4 linked regions of the Elephas maximus indicus genome follow. The protein of the gene in region 3 interacts with the protein of the main gene of each other region in a pairwise test. Links are inferred from orthologs where the notes say so. Each region holds a gene or a part of one and is shown on either strand. Other genes may lie near its edges.

Evidence for each region.
Region 1: the proteins of KASH5 (region 3) and NSG1 interact in binary tests that used the Homo sapiens proteins (3 or more experiments, as listed by UniProt). The two-hybrid records come from large-scale screens. The link is inferred for Elephas maximus indicus from reciprocal best matches to the Homo sapiens genes KASH5 and NSG1.
Region 2: the proteins of KASH5 (region 3) and GOSR2 interact in binary tests that used the Homo sapiens proteins (3 or more experiments, as listed by UniProt). The two-hybrid records come from large-scale screens. The link is inferred for Elephas maximus indicus from reciprocal best matches to the Homo sapiens genes KASH5 and GOSR2.
Region 4: the proteins of KASH5 (region 3) and UPK1B interact in binary tests that used the Homo sapiens proteins (3 or more experiments, as listed by UniProt). The two-hybrid records come from large-scale screens. The link is inferred for Elephas maximus indicus from reciprocal best matches to the Homo sapiens genes KASH5 and UPK1B.

What each region holds. Positions count from the first base shown.
Region 1 is NC_064823.1:156,810,905-156,818,883, reverse strand, and holds the start of NSG1 (neuronal vesicle trafficking-associated protein 1), read right to left. Parts: upstream 3,064-7,979; 5' UTR 2,968-3,063; intron 2,582-2,967; 5' UTR 2,557-2,581; coding exon 2,428-2,556; intron 1-2,427.
Region 2 is NC_064837.1:52,052,205-52,059,920, forward strand, and holds the start of GOSR2 (Golgi SNAP receptor complex member 2), read right to left. Parts: upstream 3,053-7,716; 5' UTR 2,994-3,052; coding exon 2,965-2,993; intron 1-2,964. UniProt on the Homo sapiens protein: Involved in transport of proteins from the cis/medial-Golgi to the trans-Golgi network.
Region 3 is NC_064829.1:99,849,161-99,856,730, reverse strand, and holds the start of KASH5 (protein KASH5), read right to left. Parts: upstream 3,067-7,570; coding exon 3,024-3,066; intron 1-3,023. UniProt on the Homo sapiens protein: As a component of the LINC (LInker of Nucleoskeleton and Cytoskeleton) complex, involved in the connection between the nuclear lamina and the cytoskeleton.
Region 4 is NC_064819.1:9,501,397-9,509,297, reverse strand, and holds the start of UPK1B (uroplakin-1b), read right to left. Parts: upstream 3,044-7,901; 5' UTR 2,937-3,043; intron 1-2,936. UniProt on the Homo sapiens protein: Component of the asymmetric unit membrane (AUM); a highly specialized biomembrane elaborated by terminally differentiated urothelial cells.

The sequences.
Region 1 (7,979 bases), on a different chromosome or scaffold from region 3:
GTGATCCACTGACTGATTTTCAGAAGTAGATCGCCAGGCCTTTCTTCCTCATCCATCTTAGTCTGGAAGCTCCGCTGAAACTTGGTCAGCATCCTAGCAACATGCAAGCCTCCACTGACAGACAGGCGGCGGCTGCGCGTGAGTTGCATTGGCCGGGAATTGAACCCTGGTCTCCTGCATGGGAGGCAAGGCTCTACCACTGAACCACCACGGCAGAGCATTAAAGGTATTTAAACCTGTAAAGCACGTGGAATACTGCCTGGTGTATAATAAGCCCTCGACAAACGCCAGGTAAGCCTGCCGCTAACACTTCTGCTGACTCCATGACAACGGTCTCCAGGGGCCGCCAGCGCCTCGATGCACGTTCTCAGAAGGCTTCCGGATTCCCACCGTAGCTGCATCACCAGCCCTCGGGAGACCTGTGCGTTGCCTCCTGGAACCCTGGCTGCGAGCAACACTCTGCTGTTGTTCTGGTCAGGAGAAGTCTCGTGTGAGAGATGTCTGCCTCAAGGTACGGAGGATCAACGGGCACTAGCAGAAGCTTCTGCATTCGGGAGAATCGTAACCAGCAGCTAAGTGACCTTGGGCGTGTCCTGGAAACTCTGGGACTGTTTCCTCATCAGTCAACTCAGAACTCTTCTAGCCCAACCATCGACCCCTGCTGGAATTCCCTCCTCTGAAGCATCCCTGGCCCAATGGTTGCTAACTGAAAGGTCAGCGGTTCAAACCCACCAGCCACTCCACAGGAGAAAAGACCTGGCAATCTGTTCCCGAAAAGATTACAGCCTAGGAAACCCTATGGGGCAGCTCTACTCTGTCACATGGGGTTGCCGTGAGTTGAAATCAACTCAGCAGCTCACACAACAAAGCATCCCTGCCAGGTAGCCACCCTTTGTTTGAATGCCTCCAGGGACAGGACACTCGTTACTTCTCAGAGCTGTTTACAGTACTCCTGGACAGCCCGATTGTTAGTCAGGGAGTCAGACCTGCCTGACACCCTACTCCCTGGTATAAGCCAGCTGTGCACCAGACTGTTTGGGAATGAAACAAGCAGAGGGAGAAGGAGGCGGCTCAGGCTGAGGAGGGAATCACCTGATAAGGTGCTGCCTAGGGACACAGCATTGCTGGCAGAGGTGGCCACCACTCCTCGGCTGAAGGGCAGACAGCCGGGGGCGGGGTTGGAGGGGAGGGGGCAGTGGGGCCAAGCTTGGCTCACTAGGCAAGTCTGACCCCTAGGAAGGGAGGGGACCCTCCCATAATGCCCAGCCTGGGCCAGCCTGCACCCTCGATGCCCAGGGTGGTCTTACCATGGCTGGGGGTGGGGGCACAGGTGTGACCAGCCCATCCCCCTTCCCCAAGCTGAAACACCTGGCTGCCATTGCTCCGGTGTCCCATACCCAAAACTCAGACAACAGAGTTGGGGGCGTGAAAGTTGGGAAGCTGAGTGAGCCTTTCAAAGGGTCCACACTGCGAACAGCAGAAGCTCCAAACCCCTAAGAATGGCCCACCAGGGGCAATCTTCCACCCGGTCCCTGCCCCCTCCGTGAAGCCAAGTCCCAGCGTCTCCGCCAAGGACCTAACGAGATGATCGATACAGACGCACTTCACCCAACAAGGTGACCATTTGTGGCCGGGGTAGTTTTTAAGGAGCAGCAAGGTGGCCAGAATGGATGCTGTGTTTGATTTCAGATCTTGACGCAATCATCTAGACTTTTACACGCCTCATTTACCTTTCCGTCTTGAGAATACCCTTCTTAATGGACAGAAACTACCTGACTGCATGCTGTATTCAAGAAAAGGGGATTCTTTAAATTCAGCCAAAACATGCCTCGGGGAAGATGATGCTGAAACGTGTCCACAGTTCCACAGATACTCCGGCGAGGACAGGAGGAACAAAGCGAGGAAGGGGCTCTACCGAAGGGCACACAGCGCCAGCATGGAGTGCGGGGGGGCCGGGTGTCTCAGGAAGGGAATGGACGGGCAATGAAGGCCCCAAGGAGGGGCCACCCGGCCAAGGAGACGGCCGTCCACCTTGGAATGGGCAAGCGGGCCAGAAGCTGCACCCCCTCAGGGCCTCCACTGACACAGAACCCCTGATAGGATGGGCCGGGCCGGGGCAGGAAGGAAGGGGGCAGAAGTTGCGGCTGAGGGGCAAGGACTTCGTTCAGACAAGACTCCCAGGAACATCACGAAGGGCTCTCTCCCAGCTCCATTGTCAGGAGGAAGCTGTCACCTAGGGGAGGAGGCCCCCCATCACCCAATCCCGGAGGACGCTGCCTCCCGCGCCGCCCGCCCCGCGCAGCCCAGCTCCAGCCCCAGCGCACGCGGCGTGCTTCTTTTGTTGCCGCCGCCGCCGCCCGAGATTTAGGGGTGCGCACCCGGCCGCGCGGGGCTGCGGCGGGGCGGAGGCGTTGGGGAGCCCCTTACCTTATCCGGGGGCGGGAACTGCAGCTGATTGACGTCCAGGGGCGTCATCAGGGGGATGGTGTCGAAGCCGTCCTCCAGCAGCACCTGCTTGGTGCCCTTCTCCGCGAAACTGTTCCCCAACTTCACCATCTTGCCGGGGGACCGAGGCTGCCGCCTACAGAGCACAGGGCCGGGGGCATCATCGCGGGCAAGACCCGCACCCACCCGCCGCCCGAGGGGGGATTCCCCGCCCCCGACCCCGCGTCCCCGGGGCGTCCGCGCGCTTGCCAGCCCCGCCTCGCTCCCGAGGGTCGTGTGGACACGGCGGTCACCGCCCGATAGGAGGTGGCGTGCTCCGTATGTACAGATCCCACCTCGCTGGACAAAAGCGGCCGCGCAGGGGTGCCCGCGGCTAGAGGAGGGGGCGCCGCCCTTGCCCAGCCCATGTAGACGTGTCCGTAGCCCTGGAGCCGTGCACCCCGGCGACCCCCACTTCCCCCGCGCCCCAACCCCGCTGGGGAGATGGACGGCCCCTTCCCCGCGCTCCGGCCCGGCGCTCACCCTCGCCTTCTGGCAGGTCTGGCTCGAAAGCTCGGAGCTCCGCGTCGCCCGCTCTGCGCGCAGCAATGGCGGAGGCGGTGCCGGGCGGCGGGCGCGCGGAGCGATTGGGCCCCGCGCGCCCCTCCCCGCGCCCCCCCGCCCTCCCGGGGTTAATGGGGCGCGGGCGGGGGGACGCGGGGCGCAGCGGCTCGCCTTGACGCAGCGTGCTTGCCGAGCGCACAAAGGACAGCGGCTGGGGCGGGCGGCTCCCCGGGGGACCCCCGCCGCCCCAAGCGGGGGAGGGGGGGGGAAGGGGAGGGTAGCGCACCCTGGAGACCCCGCGCCTGCCCGGAGCGGGGTGGAGGGAGGGGAGCGCCCTGGGGATGCACGCGGGGTGGAGGCTCCGAGCGGCGGGAGGGGCACCGCAGGGCTGGAGCGCCAGTGCGCCGGGCTGGGAGCGCGGGGTGCGGGTTGCGCCATCCTAGGACGGCGGCCGTGGAAGAAAGTGATTAGAAGCAGGGGAGGGAGAGGGGTCCTAGGATTGAACCAACCCTCAAAGGTGTGGGGGAGGGTGAAAAGAAGGTGCGCGGACCTGGGCGTGCCGAACATGGGTGGAGGGCTTGGGGAGATTCCAGGAGGCGGTGGGCGCTGGCAGAGACCTGAGCGTTTTCTGCGTGCGATAAAAAAGGGCGCGCCTGGGGATGAAGGACAAGTGTGGGAGCTGAGGGGGATTGTCAGTGTTGCGGGGGTGTGAGGGGCGCCCTCCGAGCGCTGGGCTGCGGGTGACCGGTGGGGGGCGCCCCAGGGTAGCGGAGGGACGGCATCCAGGGCAAAGGGAGCTCCTCGGTGGAGTCTGATACCGGGACGGGTTTCCTGGCCTGGTAGGAAGAGAAGGGAGGGGTCCCCCTACTGCAGCCCCAGCATTGGGCATCCCGGGAGGGAGGGGCGGTCCGAGGCCTGGAATGAATTAGGGGGTGCTGTCGCTGCTGCCCAGATCAGGGCCGCGTTTTGCAGACCTCGAACAAGCCCGGCCGAAAGCCTTCCACATGGAAAACCGCGAGGGGGCCGAGGGAACGCGACCAAACGTGAGTGGGATCCCGGCCGCGAGGCAGTTGCCTGCTTGAGCAACTGGGGAAACGGCGCCGGGCCTGCGAGGGCACGGAGTAGACGTCCCCCAAAGTCCTTACCTTCGCGCTGGGCCGGGGTCCCCTTTGCACCGCCGAGGCCCGGCGTATCCTATCAGCCGGAACCCCGAAAGAATCCCTGAATAAGCCGAGAGGGCAGGAGCACCGCTGCTGGGAGCGCTCACTATGCCCTAGGCCCAGTCTAGGAAACTGCGGCACGCCCTCGTTTTCAAAATCCCCACGAGGGCTCCACAGCCTTTTACAGGTTTCTCGTAATTCGCCCTGGTGGGCTGAAGGGGCTTTGGACCGAGGATCAGCGGGCTAGAGCTCAGGTCTTAATGGGAGGCTATCCCTTGGCCAGCCGCGGGACAGCAGGGATGGAATGCCCTAGCTTCTACCGCAGGCCCCCCCGGGCCAGCCCGCCAGCATCCTGGTGGCCGAGGTACCCACAGGGCCGATCCCCAGGTACAGCCTCTCCCCAAGAGGTTCGGTGTGCAGCACCACGGGAGCCACCTCCCAGACACTTCAGCCCCTTCCTGCAGCAGGTGAGGAAGGAAAGTTAGAAGCCTGCCTGCGCCTGCAGGTCCTGACTCCCCAGGCACGCGCGCTGGGGACTTACCTGGGATCTGACTCCACCTGTCAGGAGAGACCCTGTGGGCCTCAGGGTAGGAGTGACTGTGTCCCCTCTCAGGCCCAAGTTTTTTACAGAACTCACCACAGGCCACACCGATATGCTAAGGCCAGAATCCCACATGAGTAGCAACGGGTGGGGCCACCCTGGAGTCTGTGCCACCCCCTCCTTCTCTCTTTATCAGAAAAAAAAAACAACAACAGTTACTATGGAGTCCCTGCAGAGTCATGGCGATCCCACCTGTGTCAGAGTAGAACTACACTCCACAGGGTTTTCAGTGGAGGATTTTTCAGCAAGTAGCTCACCAGGCCTTTCTTCCAAGATGCCTTTGGGTGGACTTGAACCTCCAACCTTTGGATTAGCAGCTGAGAGCATTAACTGTTAACTTTTTTTTTTTTTCATGGTGCTAAATATATGTTCAAAGAAAACAAAACATGGAGAGAGTAGAGCACCTCAGACTTCAGTACCTGTGAGCATGAGGAGGCAGGAAAGGACACGGCGTGTGGGGAGCACCCAGGCAGCAAGCCAGAGCTCAGGCTTCAGGAGTCTTTTGGTTACACATTTTGTGTATAAACAGAACTTCCAGCAAGTGGAGTGTTTTTCTTTGTTTTACCTTTATTCTCTTAATGAACCACTCAGCAGTTCCTAATTTTCTCAACGTGTTTCTAAGATCCATTTTGTTCTCACCACGAGGCTCTTGACCTTGTATAGAGAGATGGGGGTAGTGAGCAAGAAAAGAGGTGGACACAAGGCTCTGGTGGGTGACCCTCCCTGGACCCCAGTTTCCTCGTCTGTAAATGGACAGGAGTGACCACAAACGTTGTCTTTTTTTTGTTGCTGTTGTTCCCAGCTCCAAGATTTGGGGTATAAGAAGGAATGATTTAAACAATGCTCCCCATTTCAGCCCCATTTTGGGGTTGCAGGTCAGAGTGCTGCTGTTTCCGGGAATGGATGGGTAGACAGCCAGCAGATGTTGCTTCTAAGGCGAGATAATAATCTCCTGGTGCTGGAGCTCACAGTTTTCGTCGCCTGCCCATTCTTCTTGCAACCCTGGCTGTTTTCAGATGTTTGAACCTGCCCAACCCTAAAATTAAGAACATTAGAGAAGGAAAATATTTCAGACAAGAAATTGTGGCCCTATATAGGTGGAAGGAAGGAATCCTGGTGGCGCGATGGCTAAGTGCTCATCTGCTCACCAAGAGGTCAGCAGTAAGAGCCCACCAGCCCCTCCTCGGGAGAAAGATGTGGTACTCTGCTTCCATAAAGATTACAGCCTTGGAAACCCTGTGGGGCAGTTCTCCTCTGCCCTGTGGGGTCGCTATGTGTCAGGGTCAACTTGATGATACACAACAACATAGCTGGAAGGAACTTGAAAGGATAGCCTGTGACCCAGAAGTTTCCATCAGCAGGGGGTGGAGAGGAAGAAGGAGAAGAAGCCCCTCAGCCCCCCAACAGGGGACAAGGGGAAGTACATATGTAGTCCCAAAGAAGGCACCCAATGTCTTTTTTTTTTGAGGGGGGTGGCCAGGGAGGTCAAATTCAGAAGATAAAGCTCCATGAAGTCTGGGCTGCAGGTAAGTGCAGGTAAAAATTAATCTGGGATCAAGGGATTTTCAGAGGTTGGGTAATACTGTAGTTCCACACCTCCATTTTATAGCTGGGGAAACTGAGGCCGGCCAGGAGTAGGGTGCACAATTGCTGGGCACCCAATAGAGAACTAGACTGTGGTCCTGGGCTTCTGGCTTTTTCGTTTTACTCCCAGGTAAGCAGCGGAGCTTTGCAGACAAGCCAGACTGCCCTCCACCACACCTATTATGGATTGAGTTGTGTCCCCCAAAAAGATCTGTTGACGTTCTAATCCCCAGTACCTGTGAACATGACCTTGTTTGGAAATAGGGTCTTTGAAGATGCTATCAGTTAATATGAGGTTGTATTGGAGCAGGCTGGATCCTAATTCTCTACGTTGCTGTTGTTCGCCGCTGTGGTAAGCGGTCGGCCCCCGACTCGTGGCAGCCCCACACACAACAGAACAAAATGCTTTCCGGTCCTGCAGCATCCCCATGACCCCATGATCGGTTGCAGATTGGACAGGGCGACTCGTAGGGTTTTCATCAGCTCATTTTCAGAATTAGATCGCCAGCCCTTGTCTTAATTGGAAGCTCCCCTGAAGCCTGTTCAGCATCACAGCAACACGAGCATCCAATGACAGATGCGTGGTGGCTGCGCTTGAGGTGCGCCAGCCAGGAATGGAGCCCAGGTCTTCTGCACAGAAGGCAAGGAGTCTACCGTGAACTTCCACGGCCCCTTAATCCTATATGACTGGTGGCCTTATTAAAGAGAAGAAACGCAGAGGGAAGATGGCCGTGAGAAGAGGGCGGCAGAGATGGGTGTGAGGTAACCATGAGATGAGGAGTACGGGAACCACCAGAAGCTAGGAAGGGCAAGGGAGAATCTTCCCCAGAGCGGACAGAGAGAGCATGGTGTGGCCCACGCCTTGAGTCCACACTTGGAGCCTCCAGAACTGTGAGACAATACATGCTTGTTTGTTGCACCCAGTTTGTGGTCCTTTGTTCCAGCAGACCCAGGACAGTAATTACCTGACCTCTGCAGCACTGTCAGCCCCCTGGAGGCCACAGTGGTACTGGGTGGGCTGCTGCCCTTGGTCTCCAGAGCCTCTCCCACCATCTCCCCTTCTCTAGACCGACACTGGCCTGTGTAGACCACGGCCCACTTCAGTGGGCTTCCAGGTCCTCTGGACAGTGGTGGCTTCCTCCCCTGCCTCCCACAGCTTGGCTATGTCACTCAACGGAAGGTCACTCTCCTCCCAGACAGCTGTCACCTGTCCCCTTCCCCCTTCCAGTCCAGGGGTGGTACCAGCTCCCCCACTGCAAGCTCAGGCTACCGGACCACCCCTACTGGGCCCCCACTCCCTGCCCACACCTTTGCCTCCTCAAATGATCCCATTTTAGGATGCCACCTGCATCCTCTTGGGATCTTGACTGCCACAGATAAGACAAGGACATTTTTTGCTCCCTGCCTGGACCTGCCCTCTAGCCTCTCGTGACCCTCCTCCAGGGTAGAGAATCCGAGGATGCTGTAGCTGATGAAATACTTTCCCTTCCATTATTTTTTTTTCCTTTTTCTTTTGTTGTTGTTGGGTGCCATCGGGTCAGTTGCGCCTCACAGCGACTCTACGTACAACTTTACAAAAATTCGGAAGTCGAAGGAGCAAATATGCTAGACCTGTTTTACAGATAAGGTAACTATAATAACTAGCT
Region 2 (7,716 bases), on a different chromosome or scaffold from region 3:
CATCCACTTTGCCTGTTCATATTTAGCCTTTACCTCATCAGAGAGCACAATCTAAAAAGGAAAAACTGGTCTTGAGATAAGGAAATAGTTCTCAAACTCAACTGTTCATCAAAGTCACCTGGAAAGCTTGTTAAAACAGGGGTTCCTGTGTCCCAGGACTATTGAATTAGAATTCCTAGGGATAATGTCCAGGATGCCAGACCAATCCTGGACTACAGCAGAAGACAAATGTGGGCACCTTCACTACCACCGAGATCTCAGAAGTAGAAGCCTGGCAATTAGTTTTCTATAAAAGTCAACCTAATGCAGTATTATTTACACATAAAATGTTTATTGTTTTTCATCTTTTTGTCTTCCCATTACTATTCAGGTAGTTCACGAGTTTCCAAGATCTAGAACTTTAAAATGCTGATCTAATTCCAATGTACTTTCAGGCACATGGCAAGAGATAACCATAAATTGGGTTCAAAGTTCCAGCAAAATCAATATAATCAGTTACTGTTGTGTCAATTCAGCTACAATCAATTTCTGGAATTGCAAAACTTAGTTGCTGGTGCTCACAGCACTTTGTATGTCCTTTTAAAGATACTCAGTGGCTAGTATTAAGAACGGAAAGGGGCCCTATAGTTCAATGAACCCTTAGCTATCATTTTACACATGAGGAAAACAAGGCAAAGATTTCTAGAACCAGATCTACTCCTGGTCCAGTACTTGAAGGGAAAGGCTGATTAGGTATACTGCAGCATGAAAGAAGGTAAACTTCTTGAGGGCAGGGCTGTACTGCCAGCACTGAGAATGGTGCCTGACATAGTAAAACCAGTAGCCATCAAGTTGATTCCATGGCAACCTCATGTGTGTCAGAATAGCTCCATCTAGTTTTCAATGGCGGATTTTCTGGAAGTAGATTGCTAGACCTTTCTTCCAAGTTGCCTCTGGGTGGACTCAAACTCCAAACTTTCAGGTAGCAGCTGAGTACATTAACTGCTTGTACCACCCAGGGACTCCTGACACACAGTAGGAACACAATAACTACTCATTGAATGAGGGACTGAATAGTGGCGGGCCTCACAGTAGTGGGTGAAACCGGTTTTTGTAAGTAAAGTTTTATTGGAACACAGACACATCCATTCATTTACTATACTGTCTATGGCTGGTTTTGTACTAAACTGCAGAGTTGAATAACTGCCACAGAGGCTGTATGGTCCACAAAGCTTAAAATATTTACTATCTGGCCCTTTAAAGAAAACTTTGACGAACCTTGATGTAGAGTCAGAATGAGGGTGGGTTGCTGGGGGCCTGCAGAGGTAAGTGGTTCATTTACACTCTACAGTCTTGGGACCAGTTTGCACAGAACTGAGCTACCCACATTTCCCTGTGAACAGCTACCACCTGCAGCTAAGATTCTCTAAACAAAACTATTCTTGAAAAGAAAACGGATCACAGCCTCCTTAGAAATCCTTTAACCAAAGTAACTAACTAGATGAGACTCTACATCACAGATTAACTGCAAGGCACTACTGAGCCCACCATGCCTTGCTAGTGTAAAAGATTTGCCCTTAGTGACATGAGCATAAATTTGGTTCATTTTTTCTCCATTTGACTCACAGGTCTAGCTTTTCAAGTCCCTTCTTATAATTTTTATACGAGAATTGGGTCCCTAGTGGAAGAGCAAATTTCGTTATTTTTATACTATTACAAAATAGGCTCTGTATTTTCAAACTAAACACTTCATCACCAAAGTAAAAACAAAGAAACACATAAACTGAGAAAAAGAAAGATAAGAGGAACGTCGTCCTTTTATCCCTAAAGCTCCAACGTATTTGGTTCTCAGGCTGTGAATTCATTAGAGCGGTTGGGTGTCTATTTTACTTCATTTCCAGGCCCTGGGACTGTGATTTTAAGTGTTTTCAGCAGAACAAAACTGTAGCATAAATTTGAAAGTTGTTAAAACACGGCTCCTATTACCATGCCCAACTACATATTTCAACGAGTTCCAAAAATGCAGGACAATATGAATAAAGGCCACTACCAAGGAAGTTATGAGAAGCTAAACCAAAACTCGATTTCCTTAAAGTCGACCCATAACCACATGTTAACAGCAAATAATACTGAATGCTACTCGTACAGCAATTTCTTTGTGCCATAAAAAGATGGTCTTTAGGGTAAAACGAATCAGCATAAAAGGAAAAAATCACGGTGTGGCAGCAATAAGTTTGGGGCTGATCCTGAGTGGGGACTGAATCATTTGGAACCGTGAGCTATAATGAAACTTTCTCTGACCTCAGCCCAGTGATGGATTCTTCTAAATTGCTTAAGGAAATCCCTCTTGTACTGCTCATTTACCCTCCACCCCATCCTGTCACACTTTAGTAATTTTTTCGAACGTGTCTTGACTCTCCAATTAAACAGTAAAATCCTATGGGCAAGGGCCGTGTCTCCTACTTCTCGTGTCTCCCAAGCTCTACCAACCAGAGCACCTAGGTGGTAGGTGCTGAACACAGTATTGAGCCCTGGTGGTGCACTGGTTAAGAGCTCGGCTGCTAGCCAAAAGGTCGGCAGTTTGAATCCACCAGGCGCTCCTTGGAAACCCTATGGGGCAGTTCCGCTGTGTCGCTATACTGTCGCTCTAAGTCGGAATCGATTCGACGGCAACGGGTTTGGTTTTTGCTTTTGGACACAGTATTATAACCAGTAAGTGCGATTTTCCCTCCACTCAGTCTACCCAACAGGTAATCACGGACTCGCAGGCTCGGGTGGCGACCCCAGGAGCCACCCAGCCCCACGACTCTAGGCCGCAGGCTGGACCCTCTGTCCGCCGCTAACCTGGGCATCGAGCCAAAGATTGAGCCGCCCCCGGCGAAGGGACTCGGCATCCACACTAGCGGATGCCCCAGGTCTCAGCCCTGAGGGCCGGCGTCGCTCAGCCTGGCCTCGGCCCCGCCCGTGCCCCACCGCGGCCCTCACTTGTGCGTTTGTTGGTACAGCGGCTCCATGGCGCCAGCCGCGCCGGCTCCAGCTCAGGCTTCCCCAGAACACGTCTTCACAGCCCCCTTCCGGCTTCCGGCTACCGGCTTCCGGCTTCCGGTCGCAGGGCCCGCCCACCCCTGCGGGCCGGGACTGCCCGCATGCGCGCCTGATTGGCCATGGGAACGAGACCAGAGAAGAGGGACGAAAAAAAGGCTAGGAGAGGAAGAATAAGTGTGGTCGGAGGCCTGGTCTCACATGGGACACAGGAGGTGTAGGTTTGGGGGAAAGGTTGGCTTCAGGATTGAGTCAGACATTGGCAAGGACAGCCGCGGGATACTGACGTGAGGTCCTCAGAGTCAGTTTGAAGGCAAGCAGGCGAAATCTCCGCTTCCCTGCAAGTTAAGAGAGGAAAAGTCCGTGGTGGGCTTTTGCGGTTGTTAATTGCGGGTCTGGAGATTTTGCTTTTCACTGAAATCCCTGGCACAGACTTTTCCGGTCTCAGGTTAGCCCGTTCACTTGCCTGTCTACCCTCTCCATGTATCCACCCAGTAAGCCCACATCGAATGAGTAGTGTCTTGTGTGCTGTGGGGGAAACCAGTTCTTCCGGCCCTCAGAGGTTGCCGTCTATATGCTAAAACTATTCCACGATGTAGAAAGCCGAAAGAAGTCCACAGAGATTGAGCCAAACTGGGGTCGGGTTGAGTGGGTGTCTCAGGCTTCATGAAGGAGGTAGCATTTCAACTAGAACTTGAAGGATTTGGACATTTTTGCTCCTCCACATAGACCTAGCCCGTTTCCACCCTCCCAGGCTTATCTGCAGTCCTTCCCAAGGGAGGAGATGTTCCTCTTCCTTTGACAAGTAGATGCTTCCATTTTCCTGTATCCTGGATCCCACCCAGTTTTGTGTCCCAAGAGACTGTCCACCCGTGTACATTTCTTTCCCTAACATTAATTTTTCCATTTATTCTAATATTTATTGAGCACGTACTATGTACTAGGCACAGACACTAGGGGTAAGGTAGCAGTGCTGTTATTCACAATGCCACGGCTCTTCAGAACCTGTTTGCACTGAACTATGTACATCTTGCCTCTCCAGTTCTTAATGTCATTTAATGCTAGTTATATCATTAGTCACGATGCTGCTTCATCCTTCATGCTGCCCATAGACACTGGCTCCCGGTGACTCAAAGATTGTTACTGTGTTTCATTGATGATGACACTAATGGCAAGTCTTACCTAGAGGATCCAGGAAAATGTAAATAATATTTCAGAATTTTATAGTGTAAATGTACAATGTATCTTCCAACCATGTCTTCTCCTGAATTCTTTAAGCCTTGATACAGTGTTCCTGGAAAGTGATCTCTTTCAGTATTGACTACAACCTTACCTTCCACATACAACCAGATGACACAGGATAGGGAGTGGATAGGTAAGGGGCCTGTGGATGGTGCAAGAAGAAAAGTCCCGTTCGTGCAAGGAACATCTGACCCTCACCTGGAACAGTTGTAAAGCCATTTGGCATTATAATGCTCTAGAATAGAGAAGATAGGCATGCTACTCCTAATATGTGGTGTGAAGCCCATGGAGGAGGTCTAGTGGCCACCCTGTTGTGAGGCAGGGGGCATACAGATTAAAGAATGCCACCACTCCCACTATTCTGGCATGCTGTAGACTGGAGGCAGCACTGCAGTTAGAACACAGGCTGATGAAAGCCATGGCGTAGACCCACACAAGAAGCTCAACCCTGAAGGTCAGTGGTGGGCTATCAGTAGCCCAGAGTTCTGAACTCATCCTGTATCCATTGTGAATGAGAGTGACCCAAAATCAGCAGGCAGTACCATTTTGATGGCCATAAAGGAAATGCTGTGTTGGTCAGCAGAAGGCTTCCTAGGTTGCCCTGAACAACCCCCTAGACATGAGTCTTAAAGCTCTCCAGGGCATCTGGTCAACTCTGCACATGGGGTAGAGGATCAGAGAGTACTCGGAAGTGGAGAAACAGACTGGCCACTGAAGGAGGACTTAGAAGATCTCAAGGATAACACTCTATAGTGTGGGACCTCCCTGAGGCCCTTGCCTAGGTCTGAGGGCAATACTGTATGGTAGATTAAAGATGTACTCATATACTTTGCTATGGCTCCCACTGAGAGGTGAAGTCTAGTTCTATTTCCTTTGAATCAGAGCTGACCTTAGTGACTTGCTTGACTAATAGAATGTGGCAGAAGTGAAATTTTGGGACTTTTCGGCTTCCACCCAACCTCCTGGAACACTCACTCTGGGAGCCCTGAGTTTGACTACCCTGAGACCATCCTACTGGAGAGGACACATGTAGGCGCTCTGGTCAACTGTCCCAGTTGAGCCCAGTCTTCCAGCCATTCTCACCAAGGCAGCAGATGTGAATGAAGCCATTTTGTAGTCCCCATACTAGTCTGTCTACCAACTGAATTTAACCAACTGACCTCTGTAAACACCACATGGAACAGAAGAATCACTCAACTGAACCCATGTCTGAATTCCTGTCCCAGTAAGTCAAGAGGTATAACAAAATGACTGATGTTTTAAGCCAATGAATTTTGGGGTCATTTGTTATGCAGTAATAGATACCCAGCCTCAAGGAATTTGCTGTCTATTTGAGGAGACAGAGCACAGGGCTTATGAAAAGGTAACAGTGCAAGACAATGTGCAGATATGTAATAAGTCATAAAAACAATTAAGGTCTCTCAGAATGTAGGGAAGGAGGAGATCCCATTGAATTAGAATGATAAAGGAAGACTTTCCAGAAGATACGAGATTTCAGCTGGGCCTTGAGCTACAAGAAGGATCTCAAGCAGAGAGGTAAAGTTGAGATGGTGTAGGGAGACCCAGAAGGCAGTCTGCGTGATTCCTTTTGGCTAGAGCAGAGGGTTTCTGCAGTAGAGGAAGATGGTAAGTCAGAATCATTCTGTGGACAGGAAAAGTGGTTTTCCTCCCTCCTGTAGGCAGTGAGGACCGTCTGGAGGGCTTTGAGCCTTGGGTAAAGGGATGAAGTAGTGAAACACGACTGAAACAGGAAAATCAGTATGATGACTTCATGATTTCTCCTCTTAATTTCAAGAGGTGCCCCACAGTTCTAGAATTTCAGGATTCAAGAAACCAGCCCATAGTCTGTTCCCTTTGCAGTGTGATAAACTTGGAATATCACTCTGAAGGCTTTTCTCTCTAACCTAAAGTCTTTTTGGTCTGACCAGCTTGATGAAATGTAACCCTTATCTCTGAAACCACATTAATTCATTGTGTCACTCTGGTTATCCCAATCAGATCGAATAGAATAATTCTCTTAGCCCTTCTAGCAAAGTCAGTGCCTCTTACACTCCCCATTCCCTGGTTGCTGTCCCCCCTCCTGGCCCATGTACCTTCTGATTGTTTCCTCCTGAACCCCCTTGCCTCTATTGTCTATCCCACCTGTACCAGTGCTCACACATGCCTTGTACAACTGGTACCAGCTGTGAACATGTCTCACCTCCCCTACTAAACCACAACAGCCTATCAAGAGGCCCTCATCATTTCTCAACGACAAACCTGCTATCAGGTCTGCTTGCTTCCTCTCCCTCCCCTTTCTAATCATCTTTAATATTGCCTGGAAGATCTTTCTAAAGCACAAACTTGACGTCATTTGATACCTCCCTTGTACTTACAGAACACAGTAACAAATCTTTATCTGGCTTCATCCCTGGCCATTTTCCCTGCGTGTCTTCTGGCCTTTGCATACACTGTTCCCTCTGCCTCAAACAGGCCGGATCAACTCCCACTCATTCTTCAAGTCTCCGTGCTGGTTCCACCTCCCTGAGGGAGCATCTGCAACACTCAGGCTGGGCTGGATCTCCTCCACTACGCTCCCTGGGTGCCTGCCTGTCAGCACTAGTCCCAGGTATCCCAATTCTGTGACCCCCGTCTGCTTCCCCCACCAGATGGTGAGCCAACGGATGTGTCCTTCATCCCTACATTTCCCCAGCATCCAGCTCAGTGCCTGGTACAATATCGGTGCTTGTAATATATCTGTCACCTTGAAATGGACTCCATTTAATCAGCTCACTATCTTAAATATTCTACCTGCTTGGCATTTTGGAAGTACAGAATTATTTGAAAGTTGGAAATTATAAACTGCCAGTGGCAGGGAGGCCATTCTTGCTGACAGTCATCATCTGAAATCAGTACAGAGCGTTAAATAAAAGACTTTCACAACCGTTTTCTCGTTCTATGCTTGCAACCACCAGGTGGGAGGCAGGACAGGCATCACTATCCCGGTTTTCTAGGCAAGGACATTGACTTCAGAGAAATTAATGTGCTTGACCAAGCTGACTGAGCTCATTAGTGGTGGAGGGGGACTAGGACCAGCCTGCAGCCTCACACCTTCATGTAGCTGCTATATCATCCTGCCTTTTCTACCCAAAGAGGGCCTTGCCACCATGCAGGGGTGGCCATTACACAGATAAATAGGACAGCCCTGAATTGCTTCTGCATTGGGCAGCAACAACAACCCTAGTCACACACCCCCAAAGCCTAAGAAGCATAATCGCACTGCGTCTCGGCTTGTTCCCTTTCGGTGTAAAGCTGAGCAGACAGAAAGGTTGGCATTTCTGAATTCAGAGGCTGCAGTGAGCTGAGAAAAACAAGCACCTATGGTCCTTCTAGGACCCACCAGGTGGAGCGATGTTGCCCCGGGTGCTAATGGAGATGGGAAGGGGTCTCCAAGGAAGCTGCCCACCACGGAGA
Region 3 (7,570 bases):
GTAAAGTGGGGGTGAAGAGCCCTGGTGCCCTGGTGGAGCAACAGTTAAGCGCTGGGCTGCTAACTGAAAGGCTGGTGGTTTGAACCCACCAGCAGCTCTGTGGGAGAAAAGACCTGGTGATCTGTTCCCATAAAGATTACAGCTTTGGAAATCCTATGAGGGCAGTCCTACTCTGTCACATGTAGTCTCTGTGAGTTGAAAATCAACTCAATGGCAGCCAACAAGGTGAAGGTAAGATGGGTTCGGTCTGTGTATGTGAAGCTCTTATGTCATGGGGTCTGTTCTGGCCACTGCTGTATCCACAGTGCCTGCAGATAGTAGGTGCTCAATAGATGCACGCCTGTCCTGGCCTCAGAAACCTGTGGGGCTGGGCCCATCCGGGCCATCTGGGCTCTGCCTCAGACAAGGGGTGGCATCTGAGGCAAGGGACTTGACCTCCTTGAGCCCGTTTCCTCCTCTGGAGAATGGGAATGGTGTTACCTCCCTCCTAGGGAAGGAATGATGTAAAATCCAGAAAGCTCCTGCCGGCACTTAGCAGGTGTCAGTCCTGTTCTGGGCGTTTCACATGGATTAACTCATCCCACCATGTGGGTAGTCAGTACTATTAGCCCTACTTTACAGATGAGGACACCGAGGCACAGAGAAGTTACAGACTTGCCCAAGGCCACCTGTTGAACATATGAGCCTCTTTCTCATCCCTCTAACTCTTCAGAGGTTCTTCAGTGAGCTAAACTGGGCATCCCTCTGGCTTGAACCCATGCTTCTAGGTTTGGCCTAGAAGAGGGGCAGGAACCCACAGATAGGGGAGATGCCAGGGCCTGTGCCAGGGGCTTTCCCTTAAGTCTTATCTTCTCCCTGTACCCGATCCCACGGGCTCTGAGGATCAGAACTCATCTATACCCTCCCTTGATGTCTCTCTCTGTGTCTCTGTCCCTGCCTCTTCTAGATGGCTTTCTCTCATTCATTCGCCCAGTCTGTCTCGCCTGTGTCTTGCCTCTCCAGGTCTCTTGCCCTCATTTGCTTCCCTGTCTCCCCTTCTTCTCTCTTCTCTTCCCATCTCTCAGTGACTCTCCTCTGCCCAAGCCTTCTCTTTCCTTCCTCCAGCCGTCTCTCTGACTTTTTCCCCTCCTGCCCTTCTCTGTCTCCATCTCCCCCTTTGGGTGTGTTCCTCTCTCTCCTCAGAGCCTCCTGAAGCTGTTTCAGTTCTTGCCTGCGGGTTCCTCAGTGTCTGCACGCCCTCTGCTGGTGCAGGAGAAGTTTAGCCTGGCCAGGCAGCCCTCTGGTTTCCGCAGCCTGGTCTCTGCCTTGGAATTCCTATCTGGAAAGCCTCCTGAGGCCAGAGTCAGGCCTGGGGCGTGGGGCCTTGGGAAAAGAAGCTGGCTCTGCTGCTGACAGCTGGGAGCCTCTAAGAAAGGGACCCTGCCTCCCCCATTAGACTGGACTCTCCCAAAGATGGGAGCCCTGCCTCCTCCTTTAGACTGGGCTCTCCCAGATGGTAGGAGCCCTGCCTCTCCCATCAGACTGGGCTCTCCTAGAGGGTGGGAGCCCTACCTCCTTCTTTAGACTGGGCTCTTCTAAAGGTGGGGGACCTCCCTCCCCCTTTAGACTGGGTTTTCCCAGAGGGTGGGAGCCCTGTCTCCCCTTTCAGACTGAACAAAGGGTGGGAGAGCTGCCCTCACATCAGATTGAGAGCCATCAGAGGGTGCTTATAACACAGTCTAGATGGTTCTACCACTTCTAGGCGTGTGGCCTTTGGCCAAAGACTTTCAAGGCCTCAATTTTCCCGTTTGGGAAAAGCGAGAACAGGAATGTTTTGCTTTGAGGAGCAGTTTGGTTTTGAAATCACTACCATTTGTGGAGCGCTCACCCTGTCCCAGCTTTAAGGCTGCACCACATCGTCACAACACCCCCTGAGGAGTCTCAGTAGGGGTAACCCAGTGCCTTCCTCCCAAAGCAGCTTTTATACCCACTTGGTCTGCATTCTCCCAGTCATTCAAATAATAATTATTGCATTCCTACTATGTGCCAGCCATTGTTCTAGAGCTATGTTGCCCGATACGGCAGCTACTTGCCACTGCGGAGAGTGCAAACTGAGATGCTGTTAGTGTAAAATACACACCAGCTCTTGAAGACTTGGTATGAATAAAAGAATGTGAAATAATCTCATTTGCTGTACTGATTATAGGCTGAAAGGGTACTATTTTGGGTATAGTGGATTAAATAAAATGCATGATTGCCATTTATTTTGCCAGTTCCTTTTTACTTTTTTAAAAAACGCGACTACTAAAAAATTGAAAATTACAGATGTGGTGCATATTAGCTTCTACTGGATGGCACTGCTCTAGGGACTGGGAATCGCAGAGTGAATGAAAGAGACCAAAGCGCTGCTCACATTCCCGTGGCGGAGACTGAGACTAAACTGACAAATAGATGTCAGTGCTGTGAAGAAAAGCAAAGCAGAAAAAGGGAGAGAGTGTCACAGGGCAGCTGTCTTCTGTGAAGTAAGGTAACATTTGGTTTGAGATCTGAATAATGTGAGGGATGAACCTGCAGGTAACTGGGGAAGGCAGTTCCAGGCCGGGGAATAGTGCGTGCAAAGGCTTTTGCTCTCACCGTCTGGCCTCCCCAGAGAAACAGGACAAGGTGTACAGAAGGGTGGGCACACCGAACCGAAGTGAACCAAACCAGCTGGATAGAGTAGAATTGCCCCAAAGGGTTTTCTAGACTGTAATCTTTACAGAAGCGGACTGCCACATCTTTTCTCCCAAGAAGCCGCTGGATGAGTTTGAATCTCGGAGCTTTGGGGTAGTAGTCAAGTGCTGAATTACTTCACCACCAGGGCTGCTTAGGTGGGCACACAGTAGGTACTTAATCAATGTTTGCTTGCTCCTTCCCTCCCGCCCCTGCCCCAAGGTGGAGATTCAGCCACACAAGCCAACTTTCCCAAGTCGTCACTGGGGCCCGCCCTGTTAACCCACTGCTCGCTGCTCAGCACTGACCCCCCACGCCAGCCAGCCACTTACTTGCTGCAGCAGGGCCACCAGCCCAGCCCTCAGGTAGGTCCATGGGCCACTCCGCCCGCTCTGAAGCTGCGGGCAAAGCTAACAGCCTCCCTCCGTCAACAGGGGGGGCAGGGAGGGGACTGGCTGCCTCGAGAGCTCCTGGAAGGACAATCAGAGAATGGCTTCCTCCGACTGGGCACCCGCAGATGGGGGCCTGTGCCACCCTGCCTATGCCCCAGGCTGCTCTCGGGTCTCAGAACCTGTTTGCCCACCCCCGCCTGGACCAAAGCAGTGCCCGCTCTGACCTGTTTTATGGACTGGAGGTGTGGGCTGGGAAAATGGGGGCCTGGGGCGCAGGCAGCAGAGATCAAAGCGGGGGGCTAGTGAGTAGGGGGCACTGCCTCCTGGTCAGGGAGAACAGGGTGGCCTCCTTGCCTCCAGTTGTCCCCACAACCCTGGCTCAGGCCTCGTCCTCTCCCCCTGGACCTAGCCTCCACCTAGCCTCCTCTCTGGTCTCCCAGCCTCCAGTCTCTCCTCTCTAGTCCCTTCTACACATGACCCCAGAGTTGACCTGCCCTTCCTTGTTCAATACCCTCCCATGGCTCCCCAGCACCCCCAGGACAGAGCCCAGCTCCTGAGCCTGGCCTGGCCTCATCCACCTCCCCACCCCAAATCCCACTTAATGCTCTAGCAACTCAGAACTGCATGCTGTTCATCCTTCCCCAAGCCACTATCACAGGAACTGACTCGTCAGCCCTTCCTGCTTTGGCCTGGATGTCCACTCTGGGAAGATAATTCTGATTTCCACTCCTGGGCTGAACCAGGCACTGTCTCTGGATCCCCACACTGCCCTGAGCTCCCGCCATTATTTACTGCCAGATCAGTCTGTATTGGAACTGTTGGCTTCTCACAAGTTTGACCCCATCCCTGCTCCCAAACCTCTCATGGCTTCCTAGTGTCACCAGGACTGAATCCCAGCCCCTCGGGCTGTTGTTCAAGGTCTTGCACACAGGAGTCCCTGAAACATCCTCTCTCTTTTTGCTATTTTTCTCTCCAACAGCCCATTCCCGGGTCCCTCACCCTCATCATGGCAATGGAAGTCCAGCATCTTCCCTCCATACCTGGTCCTGGTCCTCTTCTGGATTCCCAGCTAGAGGCCAGTCGTTCCAGGCCTTGGCCATATTCTGGGTGCCATTCCCACCCCCAGCCCGGCCCCACTCACAGTTCCCCTGGGACACGTTCCCTGAGTCCCTGGGGCAGCCTGGGACTCCTCAGTGCTCCGACAATGTCCTGTGCTGCCTCCATTATAACCAGGTCTACCACTTGACTGATCCTCCACAATACCAAACGGTGCCCACTGGGCTGAACTGAGCATGCCAGGGTGAATGGTCAATGTGATTGTGACCCTAGGGCCATATGGGGGCTCTCTGTCTCACTGGGCAGTGGGGAACCCCTCAACCCACCTCCTCAGACCTCTGTCCTTACCAAATACTCCCAACACTCTGCTCTCCCCAGCGCCAATCGGGATCCACAGCTGAAAGTCGCACGCTTCTCCGCGGCTTATAGAAGGTCCTAGAAAAGAGGGTCTTTGAAGAGAGACCCTTCCAGGGTTTGGACAACCCTTGAGGGTGCAAAAGGTGGCAATGGTTGTGGGGCTTGAGTGAGGAAGGGTCCCTGTTGTGGCACTGACAGGAGCCAGAAGCTCTATGACAGAATTTGGGGACTAACTTCTGAAGAGGTCTTGAGGGGTCTCTGGTCAGATAAGGGTCCAACAAGACTTCCGATGGGAAGCTGCAGTGGGAGGGGGTCTCGGCAGGAATTCTGGGAGGTCTCTGACTGGATTTTGGGAAGTCTCTGACAGGATTTCTGTGGTTCTCTGACAGGACTTTGGGGAATCTCTGACAAGATTTCTGGGGTGATCTCTGGATTTTGGGAAGTTTCTGATAGGATTTCTGGGGAAGTCTTTGATAAGATTTCTGGAGAGGTGTCTGGATTTTGGGCAGTCTTTGACAGGATTTCTGGAGGGGGTCTTCGACTAGATTCTGGGAGTCTGACAGGACTTTTGGTGAGTTCGACAGGCTTTCTGGGGATCTGACAGGATTTTGGGGTCTCTGCTAGGATTAGGGGTGTAACAGGATTTCAGGGAGTCTCTGACAGGCTTTGAGAGAGGCTGACAGAACTTCTAGAAGATTCTGACAGGATTTCAGGGGCCACCTATAAGATTTCTGGATGGGTTTCTTCGAAGGTTTCTGAGGGGATTCCGCCATGAGTTCAAGAGGACTCTTAACAGGATTTGGAAGGCCCTGATATTGAGTCAACGGCAACGGGTTTTTTTTTTCCCCCGGCATATTGAAGAGTCTCTCTCTTTGAGGGGTTTTGCCAAGATTTCGGGAAGGGCTCTCCCCTGGGGCTATTCTGGGGAACCTCGCCACACGCAGAGTGCACCTGAAGCCACGTCTCGGGACCGGCCGAGGGCCACTGACGACGAAAGGCGGTTGCGCGCCAGGGGAAGGGAGGGAGAGGAAGGGGTGCGCGTGCGCTTTTCCCGCCAGAAAAAAAGCAAAGAGGTCGGGGAGGGGCGGGGCCGAGCGCGCGCGCGCAGCGTCTAAGTCCCGCCCAGCCGCCCCCGCCTCCTCCCGCAGCTCAGGCGCACTCCTCTGGAAAGGCGAGAGCGCTTCGCGTCTGTTACCTGTAATGGCGAGGTCGCGCATGCGTAGGGCTGCCGGGGCGCGCGTCCAGCCGGTTGGAGCGGGCGCGTGCCCATTGACCGAGCTGGTGAACGATGGGTGGCTTGTGGGTGGTGGGAGGGGGGAGGGTACGCGGCGCCGGGGTCTTCTCCGGTGCCTTAAACTTCTGTGAAATGGGTCTGAGCAAGGGAGAATTGGACTGAGGGGCCTCTCCGCCATCCGCCACTTCTTATCAGTTGTCGAGCCGTGCCCAGCCGGCCCTCTGTTTCGTACCAGGCTCCCCATCACCGTCACAATGATGTTCCACCCCCCGGCTCACCTGAACCTGCGTCTGCTCCCGCACCGTTTCCTGGCACCAGTCACGCTGTCCTAATAGGTCCCCGAAGGAGTCTTTCCCAAGAGAGAGGGGGAAAAATTATTTTCAGCTTTTCTGGCTAGAGAGAGGAAGAGAACTACATCCAAATGTGACTCCCAAGAAGGCACGGAAAAAGAATCCTCTTGTCCACCTCTTGTTCATCCAACCAGTCATTTCACCTGTCACTTACTCAGAGAGGCAAACAAAAATCATATTAAGCCTTTAATAGAAATCGATTGAAGTGTATTTAACATAGGTTTTACAAATTGAGGCAACATTTTTGACTAGAAAGTAAAAAATGTTCCAAAGAAGAAAAGAGTCCAAAGATTCTTATACCACATCTTGTCACTAGTAATTATATGTTGCCATGGAAATAGGGCCTAAACAGCATTTACATAACTCGTGGACATAACCCCAGTTTGACCTTTGGAGTTTATTTTGTTGAAACTGTACATAGATAATTCCTTAAAAGAGCACAATGCCCAAAGCAAAATGTTCTTTACTATTAATACGTTTAAAAGAACTACTAACGAGTCAGAATTTACTTGATGGGAATGGGTATTGTTTGATTTAAGGCAGTTTTCTCAAGGCTCAAGGCTCAAAGATCATCTTAGGGTGATAGCTTGGGTGGGTCACTTCAACCTTGATGGAATCCAGAAATCTGGATTTATACTATAAATATAATGTAAATATCTATATTTATATTAAAAAAATACAACTATTCAGATGATCTAGTTCACTTTTGGCAAGCTGTGGTTTTCAAGGAATTTGTCCATTTAATCTAAAATTTCAAATAATTAGCATAAAATCTTTCATAATATCAGCCCAGAAATCTGGATTCCACAAGAATTAAAAACTTCATTCCTCATTACCTACACTAGACCCCTGCCTCTCTATAAAAAAAAAATATATATATATATACATATTTGATATTTCAGTGATCTTCATGGCATGTTTCACCATGTGACATATTCTATATTTGTGTGCCTCTGTCTGTCACCCCCACTGAAATATGAGCTCTGTGGAGACCTGAACTTTGTTTTCGGACAAGAATGTGCCTGGCCCAATGTGGGCACTCGAAAAAAATTTATTGAGTGTATGAATGAGTGAAATGAAAGCACTAATCCAGTACAGCTATATGGGGAGAATTATTTAACTGCAGCTCTTTTAAAAGGAAAAATTGGAAAATTCACCAGACTCTAACAATGTGGGAATGTGGTTCATTCAGGCCCCAGAACATGTTACCATTAAAAAGGATGAGCAAAAGGTTAGATTAAATCTATGCTGTTTAACTACTGGACAGATGACTAAAGCTGTGTCCTGCCCTCAGACATCTCTGGGTTTGAATTCTGGCTCCATCCCTTCCTAGTCCTGATCTTGGGAAAATGACTTTCTCTCTGAGCCTTGGTTTCACCACAGAAATGCAGATAATAATTACCTCTTAGATACCTTGAGGTTTTAAGGCGATAATTCAAGGCTTATAGGAGATCTTTGTTAATTGGTAGTTATTATTTTGGCTGTTAGAT
Region 4 (7,901 bases), on a different chromosome or scaffold from region 3:
GCAAGTTTTCTGCCTTTGACAATGTACAGCTTACCACTTTCTATCGATCTCTATTAGTGGAAAATATTGAGTTCCTTCTCTGACAGGTTTCTGCCTTACACAGCTTCCGGCTTTCACAGGTTTTACTCTATGTGGTCTTTTGAAACATTCCTGCGTTATTCTAAAGCAGCGCTTCCCTCTTATGTACTAGATTTCTTTACCTAGACAAGCTAGAAGGAAACAAATGGGATGAGGTGGATTAAAAGAAGTAGGACCAGTAGAAGGCAGAAGGCAGAGTACTGGTTCTGCACTTCAGAAACAATATTGACTCAAAGTGTGCAGTTCACCTCAAAATGTTTTCCACAGAAAGGAATAGGCCCCTGCGAGCCCCACCCCATGGAAAAACCACGTACTGGCCAGGCACAGTGATGATTTACTCAAATTGCTCAACACCCTGGGAGTTCCTTTGCATCAAGGAGTGTAGATTTTTTAAAAGACAAGAGCTTTAGTTCTTGTTTATTTTTTTCCTTCCCTTGGGAAAGAATATATGAATAACTTTCTTCTAAAAGTTATTCGTATTTGTAGTGTTGATGTTTCCAGACACATTGACTAGGACTAAAAACAATTGCTCTCTAAGCAAACCAATTTTCAAAGCAGAAGAAAAAGGAGTGTGGCTCGCCCACCAAGCATGAGATCATTTTTTAAGTTCATTACCTCTTTCCCTCGCCCAAGTTTTTTTTTTTTTTTGCACCAGAAGAACACACAGACCACACCTCAAACTCTAGCTCAAGCTAGAGAAATTTAGATTGACAAAGAAAAAAAAAAAAAAAAAGGAGGAGCAGAAGAGGAAGAAATCAAGAAACACAATACGGTGTTGCCTTAGCCCCAGCCCTGCAACCCAGGATAAGAGCAGACAGTTGTGTGATTTAGGGATGAAAGTAGAGATGGGTATGAAAACTTTAGATCAGGACGATTGCTGGTGTTCTTCAGTTTTGGTTAGGATGAGTCCCTGGTAATGACGAAAAGAGGAACTTGTTCTCATGGCCATGATACTCACGGTTATAACAGCCACAGCTTGTAGCACCCATCGGTTTTTCTTACTTTAAAGCTCTAGACCTGTGCTGACCAATATGGTAGCTACCAAATGCATGTGGCTACTTAAATGCAAATAAATTTAAATGAAATAAAATGAAAAATCGAATTCTGTAGTTGCACTGGCCACATTTCAAGTGCTTGACAGTCGCATGTAGCTATGGCTGCTGTACAGATTTCCGTCATCACAGAAAGTTCTACTGGACGGTGCTTCCCTAGATCCCGATGTTCCCTGTGAGGATCTGAGTCTTTCACTCACCTGAAGTCCACGGCTGAGATGTAAGCAATGGCTCAGGCACTCTCAGCCAAGTAAGGACCTCAGGAGAGGACGGGATGGCCCAGTGCCAGGGCAAGAATGCTATGGAGCATCATTGGGGAAACTGAGTTTAGGGAACCACCTCATGAGTGTGGTCTCTGGCCCAGGTAAGGAATGGTGGCCTCTTAGGGTTGTGGGCAGCCTGCCTGGTCATCAGACTCCGACTCCAGCAGCAGAGCACAGCACATTCTAGGGTTGCTTGGTGTTTGCCTTGGTTAAGAAGGTTTAGTAGGCGAGGTCAGAAAAGAAGTTCTGAGATTTCATTTGTTTTTATTGATTAGATGGTATCTAAGGTTACGGAAACTCTAGAGGCATAGTGGTTGAGTGCTATGGCTTAACCAAAAGGTTGGCAGTTCAAATCCACCAGGCGCTCCTTGGAAACTCTGCGGGGCAGTTCTACTCTGTCCTATAGAGTCGGTATGAGGCAGAATCGACTCGAAGGCAACAGGTTTTTTTGGTTTTAGGGTTACTTTTGGATCTAAAAGTCTATGAAAGTGAGTTGATTTTTAAGCCTATTGTAGCAGAAAGCAAAATAAGAAATTCTTCTCCTCATTGAGAAATCAAAATAAAAACTCCTTCTTCACATATATATAAAACTGAAATATATATATTTATATATTCTAAGTTATAAATATATGTACGTATATATATATTCTAAGAGAGTTCTTTCCTGTTGTACTTAGCAACTCAACTCATTAAAGAAAAGGTCAAGTCTTTAAAAAACTCAAAAATTATTAAAAATTCAAGATTACAAAAATCTTTAAAACTAGTTATTACAAGTGAGGTTTTAGCTTGATATAAGAAAAAATAGTACTAGCATTACTTGAAACTTAATTTGCATCTTAAGCAAAAATGTTGTTTGAACAAAATTGTATATTTAGTACCTCCGGATCCTGGTGGATCCACTAATTGGTGACAAGTGAAAATAAATTATGTAAAAACAACACTGCATAGTTAAAGTTAATTTGTTGACTTATTTCATGGACACATTTATTAAGCATAACTGTTTGCGGAGAAGAAATGTGAGTAAATTGTCTCACAAATCACGTAATGAGTTAGCAGGATCAAACGATTTCTGACAAGACGGGGAAGTTTTCTCTCTACCCGAATGACAGATTATTAAGAATGAACATGACTTGGTTTCCTTAAAATTCCTTTTGCTTTTCTGACTCCAAAAGGAAATTGTTGGTGGGGGGGACGGGAGGACTATAAAAGTGACTGAGATTTAATCAGCTTCCCAGGGTCCTAGGATTTTTCTTGGTCTTTCTGTGAGAAGTTTGAAGTTGAAATCAGGATTCCCAAAAGAAATTTAACCAGAGTTCTGAGAACAGGACAATGATATCAAAGGTTTTAAGAAAGCAATTTATAGAGTTCAAAGTAAAAGAGAATGAAGCAGTCACAACATCCTAAATCACAAAAAATGACATGCTCCATTCCTCAGGAATGCCTGTTCTTCCCCCTTCCCTGTCAGGCCGCTGGCTTCCCCCCAGGAAAGCACCCCAACCACTCAGCGTGCAGTGGGCTTCACCGCAGAGCGCAGGCTACTCACGGAGCCCGGGCCGCCTCCTCTGGCCGCGCTGGCCCACTCCGAAGTCGGCAGGAGCCTGAGGTGCTTTTCTACCCTGCAGCGATTCTTTGGAGCTCTAAGACCAGGGAAGGGTGGTCTGTGATTGGGAGGGAGGCATCTCGCATGGGCTGAACCTGGTGCTGCCTGTGCCTGCCTCATTGGAGGGCGAAAGTAACAGGAACCTTTCAGTCACTGGCTTTCTGCTTCTTTGGAATGTGGTGACTCAGGTAAAAGCACTTGTTTGTTTTTATTTGTATTTAGTTTGCTTTTATTCGTGTGCTTTGAAAAAAAAAATTTTTTTTTTTGACCCTTATTTCTGCTTTTGTGTATTGTCTTAGTCAGAGGTCCCTGGAGAAACAGAATTAGTGACGCAGATGTGGAGTCCCTGAATTAGTGATGCAGATGTGGAGTCCCTGGGAGGTGCAAAATGTAAATGCACTCAGCTGCTAACCAAAAGGTTGATGGTTCAAGTCCACCCAGAGGTGCCTTGAGAGAAAACCATGGTGATATATTTCTGAAAAACCGGTCAGTGAAAACCCCGGGATTGTCATGAATTGGAATTGAGCCAACAGCAATGGAAAAAAAAAAAAAAAAGTATACATATAAACAGAGAGATTGATTGCTTTACTTCAAGAAAACTGACTCCGGTGATTAAGTAAATGCAGAGGTCAGGCGACAGGCTGGAGACTCCTGCAGGCTTATGTTCCCAGATCTGTAGGTCAGACAAAGGGAAGAGAGTGGGAGTTCTGGTAAAATGTCATTTATAGTTTGGAGACAGAACATTCTCAAGGGAAGCTCCTTTTTTGCTCGTAAGGTCGTCAACTGATTGGTTGAGACCCACCCACGTTATGGAAGGTAAACTGCTTTACTTAAGGCCAATTGATCTGATCACAAGTAACTACAGCAACTAGGCTAGTATTTGACCAAACAACTGGACATCATAGCGTAGCCAAGTTGACACATAAAATTGTATTAAAATGCCTATCTATTGTTCTGGCTGCTCGTAGTGGTGCTGGTATAAGCTTAGCTGTACAGGGTTCTGTCCAGTTTCAGTTTCTATATTTTGAATAGGCTGTATTCACAGGAATAGTAATTACCCAAGTAATGCTCACACTGTAGATGGTCCAAAGATTAGTAAGGGGGAGGGTCAAGAGATCTGGAGACAAACAGATTGGGAGGAATTCAAGCTTAGAGAGAGGGTTCAGGTAATTACCTGCTGATGGTAGTTTCAAGGCAAGTTAACAAGCCTGATGACCAAGGGAGTATCTACCTGGGCTCAGAGATGTTGGTCTTGTACATACCCTCAAGCTTTCCATTCCTGTGGGGCTTCACCCTCTCATCTTCAGTGCCAGGGAACCAGTGGAATGTTTCTCTTCACAAGCACTGCACTCCCTAAAAAGACCCCTTCAAACTGACTTTTTTTTTTAATGGAGGGAGGGAGGGAATTGTAGTGCAAACTGGGCAGGACAGTCACTGGTCTCGTATCTGGAAGTCCTCTTATGTGGGATACTTAACACCTTTTGCTTTAGTTACCAATTTCAGGAAAAATGGCGGGAATACCCTTTGGCTCCTCAAGGCATGATGTCTACATTTTCAGTACTTACTAAGTCCTCAATACATTGTTGTCTGGGTGATTCTGACTCATGATGACCCGATGTGTTAGGGAGTAAAACTGCTTCATGGGGGTTTCTTGGTTGTAGTCTTTATAGAAGCAAGTCATTAGGCCTTTCTTCCACGGTGCCACAGGGTGGGTTCAAGTGGCCAACCTTTAAGTTAGTAGTCAAGTGCAAGCGATTTGTACCACCCAGGGACCTCACTAAGTCACTGTCAAATTCACTCTTCACAACAGCCCTGTCCTCCATTTTACAGATGAGAAAGCTGAAAGTTGAAGAGGTTAAGTTGTCCACGGTTATAGAGCCTTTTAGCGTTAAGGACTCCAGTCAGCCTGTCCTCACAGCCTGCGCTCTTAACTATTTGACAACACTATTTGAGTGTAGTTAGGCAATCAACGTAACCTCTTAAATGGTATTAAATTTCTAAATTGCTGATTTTATTTTTTTTTCTATTAACTGCTTAATGAAATAAGTAGAGTAGAATATTGTTCCTGGGATAAGAAGCCATTTTCTGCAAAACTGCCTCAAAAGTAAGTCTGCCAGGGCACCCATGCTCTTTGCAGACTAGACCAGTCACTAATCAGAGCTCTGCTTCCATACTAAGTCAAACTTCTATACTGAGTCAAACTTGCAAAATGTATTCCTGAAATGCCAGGTCCATAAAATTCTCTAGTGCCTCTGAAAATTGCCTTTCTTCCAGCGGGCCTTGGCTCTCTTTGCAAATTTTCCTAGAATGTATAAATTCAGACTTTTTGACTTTTAATGGGTTCTCTTTTTTATTTAGCAATCCTTTTGTTCGACATTAAGTGACATTATCCCATCCCCTTCAGCTCCTGGTCCACACCAGATGATAAATATTTAACTCAGCTCATACTTTTAAATTATGGCCACCACAAGATGACTTCTTAGAGCAAGTCTAGACCTTTCCAAGGAAAGGGACATCCCAGTATTAATATTCTTACCATTGGGAGAGATTTTAGAGGGTTTTTTTGGTCCAAATTTTTCATTCAATGAAGAAAAGCCTCTATAATATCTCTGATGTCTATATTAAGGGGCAACCCTGTGAAACGTGTTATGTTTAGTGTAGGATATTGTTGAGGATATTTTTCACAACCCTACATGCTGGGTCTAAGAGTTCCCAGGGGAAAAACGTTACCTCTGGTCTCAGTATTTGGAAGAATTACACTTTTCCTAAGTAACTGGTTTTTATTTATTGGACTCAATTTTGCCTCCATTCTCTCCACTCTATTCAGTTTGTCAAGTTACCAAACAACCTCTATTTTTCCAAATCCAGTGGACACTTGTCTTCATTTTACTCAGGATTAGTCCATTCTTCTTGTAATACTCTCTCCTGTCTTTCATAACATCGTATCCTGTTCAAGTTTCTCCTATTTCTCTCGCTATTCCATTTTTTCCACCTTGGCCTGACCAATTACTCTAGATGGCTCCAGGGCTTGGATCCAGCCCTCAGTTCTGAGTAGTTCTGAAACTGTGTTTCCATCAGCGGTTAGTCTCCCTGTTCACTCATTTCCATTACTCTCTGGTTAGAAGTTCAAAAAGATAAATTTCTTCCTGAATTTGAGGGTAATAGTAAGAATCCCAGGCTTTTGTCTTTTTAGCAATACAGCTGTTTCTCTCTTTTTTTTTTCTCCCTTCTTTTTCTTTCCTTGGCCACCAGTTTTGAAATAGGTAATGCCCTCTTTTATTTTGCTATCTGGTAAATATATTTTTAATTTTTTTAAAGCTTTTGTTTATTTTATTAGATATTGGAAGCAGAAGATTTTTTTTCTTGTACTTTAGATGAAGGTTTACAGAGAAAATTAGCTTCTCATCAAACAATTAATACACACACATATATATATTTGACTCCAAATTCAGTACTTTATTGTCCAGAGAGGGATCTGAAAACACTCGCTTCTGAATAACAACACACTGTCTTGGGAACAGAAAAAAAAAAAGTATATGCATCTTGTTGCAGGCATAAAATACATTAAAAAAAAAAAGTTGCTGACGAGCCGATTCAGACTTATGGCAACCCCATGTGTGTCAGAGTAGAGCTGTGCTCCAGAGGTTTTTTTTTAAAATAATTTTTATTGGGTTATTGTGCTTTAAATGAAAGTTTACAAATCAAGTCAGTCTCTCACACAAAAACTCATATACACCTTGCTACATACTCCCAATTACTCTCACCCTAATGAGACAGCCCGCTCTCTCCCTCCACTCTCTCTTTTCATGTCCATTTTGCCAGCTTCTAACCCCCTCCACCCTCTCATCTCCCCTCCAGGCAGGAGATGCCAACATAGTCTCAAGCGCCCACCTGATCCGAGAAGCTCACTCCTCACCAGCATCCCTCTCCAACCCATTGTCCAGTCCAATCCATGTCTGAAGAGTTGGCTTTGGGAATGGTTCCTGTCCTGGGGCAACAGAAGGTCTGGGGGCCGTGACCACCGGGGTCCTTCTAGTCTTAGTTGGACCATTATGTCCGGACTTATGAGGTTTTGGGGTCTGCATCCCACTACACATATTGTTTTATGACATTGGTTGCAGTCATGGATTGAATTGTGTCCCCCCAAAATATGTATCAAATTGGTTAGGCCATGATTCCCAGTATTGTGTGGTTGTCCTCCATTTTGTGATTGTAATTTTATGTTAAAGAGGATTAGGGTGGGCTGGTAACACCCTCATTCAAGTCATATTCCTGACCCAATGTAAAGGGAGTTTCCCTGGGGTGTGGCCTGTACCACCTTTTATCTTACAAGAGTTAAAAGGGAAGCGAGCAGAGAGTTGGGGACCTGATACCACCAAGAAAGAAGCACCAGGAGCAGAGCCATCCTTTGGACCCAGGGTTCCTGAGTAGAAAATCGCCTAGTTCAGGGGAAGATTGATGAGAAGGGCCTTCCTCCAGAGCTGACAGAGACAGAAAGAATTCCCCTGGAGCTGAAGCCCTAAATTTGGACTTCTAGCCTACCAGAGTGTGAGAAAATAAATTTCTCTTTGTTAAAGGCATCCACTTGTAGTACTTCTGTTATAGTAGCACTAGATGACTAAGACAGTTGCCAGCCTCGCCACATGTCAACAGTCTCCCCTTCTCAACCTTGGCTTCCCTGTTACTAGCTTTCCTGTCCGCTCCTGCCTTCTTGTCCTTGCCCCTGGGCTGGTGTGCCCATTTAGTCTCCTTTTGTTTTATGGGCCTGTCTAATCTTTGGCTAAAGGGTGAACCTCAGGAGTGACTTCAGTGCTGAGTTAGGAGGGTGTCTGGGGGCCATATTCTCGGGATTTCTCCAGTCTCTGTCAGACAAGTAAAGTCTGGTCCTTTTTTGTGAGTTAGAATTTT